2 linked regions of the Macaca fascicularis genome follow. Each later gene encodes a partner of the first gene's protein in a complex. Links are inferred from orthologs where the notes say so. Each region holds a gene or a part of one and is shown on either strand. Other genes may lie near its edges.

Region 1 (4,394 bases):
GTTGCAGTCTTGCCGGTACCAGTGGCCCACACGGGCTCATAGGCCAAGGTGACCTTGCTCCAGTCCTTCACATTATCTGCAATGACCTTTGTCTGTTCAAAAACAACCTTCTCACGGATGCCAGCTTCCCTTTCACCTAGCTTCTCCCCAGTGCAGGTGATTACTCCGAGTCCCTCTGCCAGAACATGGGCCACTTTCTGCCCAATCAGCTCATCTGACTCCCCAAAGACATGCCTTCTGAGTGCCCCAGGACCACACCACCTATGTGACTCCTAAGTCTTTGACCATGCCAGGGCTGATTTCCCCAGTAAAGGCCCCGTTAGCCACTTTGCAGCAGTTCTGCGCAGCCACAGCAATCTTGGGATCTAGCGTCTGCCGGGCCAAATCGATACAGGCAGTGGGGAGAGCACAAATCACTTCGGTATGGGCAGGCACAGTGGCCGCGTTCTGAGTGCCAATGAGCTCCCCCAGACACTTCTTCCGCCCGTTATCTTCCAGTTCCTCTCCACGAAGAACTTCCTGGAGGGCGCCATGGCGCCGGAGCTGAGGTGCCGTAGGTCAGTGTCAGCGCCTAAAACGGGTTTTAATAATACTTGGCAAGGTTGTTAGGCGGATTAAATGAGCTCTTGTAACTACAGTGTTTTACACATTGTGAGCATTTATCAAATAGCAGTTATTTACTAGTGCAAAGGACTAGCAGCAATGTTCATATTAATATACTGTTAACCTTTTGTCCCCAATTTCTCCAGAGTACAGTTTCCAAGATTTCTGTTTTCTTTTGTGAACTGTTAGACCACTGGTATTGGATTCGGACAGAAAGGCATTCACAAAAATACGGTTCAATGTGAGAATAATCCTAAAGATGTATGCAAAACACTCTGGAGTTAGAGCACCAGGAGCTGTAAGCGGAATGAAAGACCTCTTTTGGGCTTAAGAACTAAATAAAGGGGAGCTGACAGAGATTCTAGGCATTTTGGATTTATCTCAATGTGGCACATATTTCAGGTTTGTAAAATAGTTCAGTTGACTACGTGTCTGTCTCCTCCACTAGAGCCAGCGTAGGCACCATGTCTTAAGTCATTTTGGATCTCCAGTACTGTGGCCACTACAGGGAGAGTTGAATTGACGCGCCTTGATCACCAGGGCAGAAAAGGATTCTCTGGAGAGGGATAGGGAAGTCGGAAGGGGGAGGAAAAACCTGGATCCATTTCCAAGGAGCTGAAGGCAGCTTAGATATGGGACACATCTCGGTGCTAAAGCCCCAAGCTGGAAGCGAGAAACCGAGAGAACAACACCGGCTCTTCTTCCCGGCTCCTGGCCCGGTAGGGCCACTTCCGGGAGGGGGCGGGGAGACAAGAGGAGGCGTGCCGGGAAGGAGGCCGTTTGTAGTGTACCAGGCGGAAGTGTGCCAAAGGTATCGGTGCTGTCGCTTCCGGTCCGGGTAAACGCACCTTAGGTACACGCTGGTGTGTGGCGTGCGAAGATAGGCGTCTGAAGGCAAGTCAGCGAGTGAAGACGGGAGCGCCAGAATCTGTGGACTCAGAAGTCTGGGGTCTAGTGGAAAAACCGGAAAAAAGGCCAGGAACCTGAATACGACCTAATAGCTGTTTCCGAGGGGGCAACTTCCACGGGGAACCTTCTGCCCTGGTAACGGCCAAAGAGGAGGAGATGGCGCCAGTCAGGGAGCTGCCGTGGCCCAGACAGTGAGGAAGCGCGAAGGCGGAGCAACCGTGGAAGCCTCGGGAGAAGAATCAGAGCCGTCGCTACCGCCACTGCCGCCACCACCATGGAAGGAGCAAAGCCGACATTGCAGCTCGTGTACCAGGCAGTGCAGGCGCTTTACCACGACCCAGATCCCAGCGGAAAGGAGCGCGCCTCGTTTTGGCTTGGGGAGCTGCAGCGTTCGGTGAGGGGCCCAGAGAGGCAGTTCTGTGCCGCGGGGCCGGGGCGAGGTGGAACCTAGGCTCCAGGGGAGAACCTGAGCCCGGCGGTTGACCTCGTGAGGTCCTCCTTGGGGAGGAGCTGCTGTCGTGGGGTGGGGCTGCGAAGCTACATCTTTGCCGCTTTTGGGAAACTAGTCGCACCTGATCGGTCGCGAACTGGCCCTTTCCCCACCCGGTGGAATCTGATTTGTAGGTCTTATACTTTTCGATTGTGGCATCGATCTAGTCTTGTTTAAGTTCTGTCTTTGCCGTTGCTTCTTGGGCCGTGCTTTTCCGTTTTGTCTTCCTCCCACCAAATCCAACCCCAGTGTTTCTCCACCTTCCGCTTAAGAATGGTTTATTGGTCTCCTCTCCGTGTCCAAGACTTGCATCCGGCAATTTCCTCCCAGTCGTAGCCTTATGCCTCACTCTTTTTGCCTGTTTTCACTCCAGTTTGAGTCTGTTCTTCTCGAAACTTCTCAGGTTTCTAGATTCTTACTCGTGCGAGTTTTCCCCTTGCTTTGGAATGGCAACATAATATGAAGAAAAAATATTAATTCTGCGTTCAGAAAATCTTTGGAGTTCTAATTTTATTTCATATTAATCCTCTAACCTTGTTATTTCTCTGGCTTTTAGATTTTTTTATTTCTAAAATGGGTATCACTGCTGCTTTGATTATTCCATATAAAACTGTATGTGCATCCAGTGAGATATTTAATTGTAGCTTATATCTATTGTATTTCTGCATTCGTTGATTCATGTTTTATGCTTCCTTCCCTAATTTTCACACCTTTGCTGTGCTTCATTTCTGTGTGAGTGTGTATTCTTGGTGATCTGGCTGACTTAGGTCCTAATGTAGTATGCACTTTAAAAATTAAGTACTTTGAAAACAACTAAAGAAGCTTTTTTACAGGCTGACAAAATACTCACCTTTGCCTTTATTTTTGCATTTTATACTAACAAGCATATTTTTTTGCCCCTCTTCCCTTTAACTCATAACTGATACTTAAAGGTGCTCTGCCTTATTAAATCAGCTCCTAGACTGCAAGTTCATGATATTTAAAAATTTGCAACTTTGACTTTTTAAAAATCTGGTCTTGGTATGGAGCAACTTTGCCTTTTTTTTTTTTTTTTTTTTGAGACAGAGTCTCGCTCTGTCGCCCAGACTGGAGTGCAGTGGTGCGATCTCAGCTCACTGCAACCTTCTCCTCCTGGGTTCAAGCGATTCTCCTACTTCAGCCTCCCGAGTGACTGGGATTACAGGTGCCCGCCACGATGCCCGACTAATTTTTTTTTTTTTTTGAGACAGAGTCTGGCTTTGTCACCCAGGCTGGAGTGCAGTGGTGTGATCTCGGCTCACTGCAACCTCCTCCTCCCAGATTCAGGTGATTCTCCTGTCTCAGCCTCCCGAGTAGTTGGAATTACAGGCGCACGCCACCACACTCAGCTAATTTTTGTATTTTTTAGTAGAGACAGGGTTTCACCATGTTGGCCAGGCTGGTCTCGAACTCCTGACCTCAGGTGATCTGCCCACCTCGGCCTCCCAAAGTGCTGGCACTAGAGGTGTGAGCCACCGCGCCTGGCTGCAACTTTGCCTTTGAATATTAAACTTAAAAAATTGGTGCCCAAGTCCTCGTTAGAAAATAAAGGAATACGACTCACTGTAGGCTACACAAGAAAATCATTCACATATGGTCTCATTTAGTGTTTCTGTGATCTCTGGAGAGTCACAATTCCCTGATCTTCGTTTAGTTTTCTAAAGTATAAATAGGAGAAATGCTACACTTCACTGCAAAAGTCCTATCTTTCTAATTAAACCTGCTTGTTGTGTGTATTTTAAATCAATATTTGAGTGCTTACCATGTGCCAGCAACTATGCTGGGTGTTTGGATTTGGAAATGAACTAGAAAAAAATCTCTGCTTATCACGGAAGGTGGTTGTGATTAAATGAGTTAATATTCTACGAAGAGCTTAGAAAAGTTCTTGGAACATAGAGATTAAAATGTTAGCAATTGTTATTTAAATATTAGTCACTTTTCTCTCCTTACTTTCCACTACTCTATTACAACCTTACATCATCTTCACAGATGGGATTTCCCATTGGCCAAACCCAGCCGGAAGCCAGGCGACACAGTGACCTATTGGTAAAGTCTATACAGGTCAGCCTATTGGAGCAGAAAACATGACAGAAGAGGGTGGAAAAGTGGATCTGGAAAATATCCAGCAGTCACACTTCATGTTTAGGCAACTTCAGCATCTGGATTGACAGTTCAGCTAACATTTTGGCCTTTTGATTCCTTTACCTCTTCATTCTCTTCAGTCACCTGGTCACACAATCACACCCTGGATCTTGTCTTTACTAAAAAGCCACCACCCAGGCTGTCATGACTGTAATCCCAACACTTTGGGAGGCTGAGGCAGGCGGATCGCTTGAGGTCAGGAGTTCAAGACCAGCCTGGCCAATATGGTGAA
Region 2 (3,013 bases), on another chromosome or scaffold:
ATAAGGAAAAACAAAAAACAGTCATAGGAACATTCCCCGGGCACATGACTTTCAATGAGCTCTCGACAAGAGGGATGTGGGCACGAGCGGAAGGAGTTACCTCGAATTACAGGGCTATTTCCACATATGAGCTAGCCAAGGGAGCAGCTTGCGTCTCAGAGGGTTCTGTTGGGCGCACAACACTTCTGTCCTCCGAGGGCTGCAGCTTCCATAGGCTAGCAGAGAACGCTCAGAACTCGTGAAGCAACAGCAGAACTAGCTAACCGGCTGGCCGTCTGAGGTCGCCCTGGGATGCCACGTGCCTCCGCTCTCTGGCCTGCTTCTAGACTGAGGCAGTCCAGGTCAGCGTCGGGTGCACGTCCACTGTCCCTGCTAAGCTGCCCGCACAGTCCAGCCCTCTGGCCACCACTGCCAGAAGCCTCCCGGGGCTGCCCTGAGGCCTGAGCTGCCCGCTCCCGTCCCCCGCCTGGCTCCCCTACCCTGACCAGCGCCAATCTGCTGGGCCTCCCTTTCTAGCTCTCTCTGCAGGCCCCAGGGAAGGCTTGCAGACCTGCTGCTTCTCCGCCTTCTCTGCTCAGGTCTGGCTGCAGGAGCCTGCAGCAGGGAGTGTGTGGTGCAATGCAAGGGAATTGTCAGAGCAAGGTTCATTTCACACGGTCTTTTAATCGGCTTCGTAAAGCCAAAGAAAACTGCATACAAGAATTCCTCAGCCACTGCAAATACAACATCGATGGAGTATGCGTACGTCTTCCAGTAAAAAAGGACAATATAAATAAACATCTTCAAGAACCTCTCAGGGACGTCTGCACGTCTACTGTGGGGCGCACAGCACAGATGGGCGCAGGGGCCAGGGCTCCAGGGCAGTTGCTGCCACACCCGCCGGGGTCCTACCACACTACACTCAGAAACGTCACATGGAGTTGGAAAAAGCCACAGCTTGCTCAGCTTCCGACAAAGAGCGGATTCACAGTCCGTTCGATCTCAGAGGAGTGAGTGGGGCACCCACTTCATGGGGCCAACCCCACCAAAAGAAAAAAAGGCAACACAACCAAAAACTAAAAAACCAAAAACCCACACAACCCCCGATTTTTTTGAAAACTCATGGCTCGTGGTCAAAAAAGTAAATCTGAAGTGCTTTTCAAAATGTTTTGAAAACCCTTAAAAACAGCACTTCCTTAAAAAGAAAAGTCTAGTAACGAGGCCATCCTGGCGTCAGAAGCGGTCAGGCTGGGTTTGACAAGATCAGAACCGAAATGACTACGAAAGTGGGAATACAAGGAGGTGCGTTTACTACACGTATTAACGTTCAGCGAAGCTCCCACAATCTTTAAACACACAGCCATTGGAAGGACGATCTTGAGCAGGAAGGGTTTTTACTCGTTGTGTGTAGCTGAGGACAAGAAGCAGGCACAGTGTAAAGGCACCGAAGCAACGAGAGGCAGCTTCACCCCAGAGGCCAGACCAGGGCGCGGCCTGCGACCGGGGAGCAACCACCCCCCACAGCCGAGGGAGGCTGGCCTGCAGCCACACATGCACCTATGCTGACTGCCCAGCGGGCCCTCGCTCTCCCTTGCCTTTTTGGTCAGTCTCATTTGGCTTTTGTGTCCTGTGATAGAAATGGCTCTGAGAGGACAGACGTGCCTCTTATAGGCAAGCGCAGTGACAAGATCTGAGTGTCCAGCCTAAAGTGCTTGGAGAAGGTGCCAAGGTGAACCGAGCTCCCACCGCAGGCCACAGCAGCGTGGCACCCTCGGAGCGTGACTTACCGTAACTGTCGTAACTGTCTCTATAGGACCCGCCCGAGCTCCGGTCACTGTAGCCACCACTCTGACTCCGGCTGCAGGATAGACAGACATGAGTACCGGAGGATACCAGTCTACTTTTGCTCTGCCACAGCAGGCTGAGCCGTCAGCCCCCATGCCAGCTGTCCCTTCTGGGGACGCAAGGACCCCAGCAGGGTAGAGTCTCAGAAATCGTCCAAAACCTGCACCAGCCATGCCCCCCTGGCCTTCCCGCTTCTGCCACTGTCTTCAGCAGTTTCTTCTCCTCTTGGCCTGGGCCCCCTCCCGCCTCTGCTCCTTGGCCAGCCAGCCTCATCTCAGCTCCCTCAGGGACCTGGGACTGAAGCTGGCCATCCCACCATCACCCCTGTGCCCGGGTTGGTCTTCACCCCTCACCTGCTATAGTAGTCTCTGGAGCCACCGTAGCCCCCACTCCTGGACTCGAACCGGTTCCCCCCATAGCCTCGGTCCCCTCCTCCTGCATACAGGAAGAAGTGAGTACCAGCTCCCACCAGCAGTGCCTCACAGCATTCCCAAAGGGCCAACTCACGGCACTCACCTCTAGAGAACCCACGGCCCCGTCCTCGGCCCCCACGGAAGAAGCCCCGGCCCCCGGCAGAGCCACCACGGTACCCACGGGATCGGTTGTCTGACGACTTGCCTGCCTGGTCTACTCGGATCTGTCGCCCATCTACAGACTGGAGACCAGCGGATGGCACAGGTTAGTGGGTGGGTGCCCCATCCTCAGGATGGGGCTCCCGCTCAACACCCTGATCCTCACCTTCCCGTTCATGGCCATCATGGCATCCTTGGCGTCGTCAATGTTCTCAAAGGTGACAAACCCAAATCCCCGAGATCTCTGGGTCTCCCTGTCTTTCACAACCACCACTGTGCAGGGGAGAGAGGTCTGCAGTCAGCACCCAGCTGTACCTACAGTCAGGAGGAGCACAAGCCAGCCCCACCCGGGCCGCCGGCCCAGCACCAGCCTCACCTTCAGAGATCTGTCCGTATTTTGAGAAGACCTGCTCCAGCGACTGCTCATTGGTGTCAAAACTCAGCCCTCCAACAAAAAGCTTGCCTTCGTCTGATGCCATGGCGGCCTGTGGCAGACACCAATGAAATCCTCAACAGGGGTCATCTCTCACCACCTCTCCCCGCTTCCTATTTTATGTAAATGACATGTGTTTTTTAGGGGAAATATTAGAAAATCAGGTTATTGTTTTTCATTGTCG

The links.
Region 2: the proteins of TNPO3 (region 1) and CIRBP are in contact, whole or in part, in a crystal structure (PDB 8CMK), measured with the Homo sapiens proteins. The link is inferred for Macaca fascicularis from reciprocal best matches to the Homo sapiens genes TNPO3 and CIRBP. Residues at the interface, in NP_036602.1 of Homo sapiens: Arg620, Glu660, Arg661, Cys663, Arg664, Arg667, Phe668, Arg671, Ser698, Cys699, Tyr702, Ser705, Ile706, Asp709, Glu710, Asp747, Asp750, Asp751, Arg754, Arg758; in NP_001271.1 of Homo sapiens: Tyr160, Arg161, Ser163, Tyr164, Asp165, Ser166, Tyr167, Ala168.

The regions. Positions count from the first base shown.
Region 1 is NC_088377.1:170,513,677-170,518,070, reverse strand, and holds the start of TNPO3 (transportin-3), read left to right. Parts: upstream 1-1,443; 5' UTR 1,444-1,786; coding exon 1,787-1,906; intron 1,907-4,394. UniProt on the Homo sapiens protein: Importin, which transports target proteins into the nucleus. Specifically mediates the nuclear import of splicing factor serine/arginine (SR) proteins, such as RBM4, SFRS1 and SFRS2, by recognizing phosphorylated SR domains.
Region 2 is NC_088393.1:1,852,831-1,855,843, reverse strand, and holds the end of CIRBP (cold-inducible RNA-binding protein), read right to left. Parts: intron 2,943-3,013; exon of another isoform or gene 2,882-2,942; coding exon 2,773-2,881; intron 2,670-2,772; coding exon 2,563-2,669; intron 2,480-2,562; coding exon 2,341-2,479; intron 2,260-2,340; coding exon 2,178-2,259; intron 1,838-2,177; coding exon 1,645-1,837; 3' UTR 1,391-1,644; coding exon of another isoform or gene 1,374-1,390; 3' UTR 644-1,373; downstream 1-643. UniProt on the Homo sapiens protein: Cold-inducible mRNA binding protein that plays a protective role in the genotoxic stress response by stabilizing transcripts of genes involved in cell survival. Acts as a translational activator.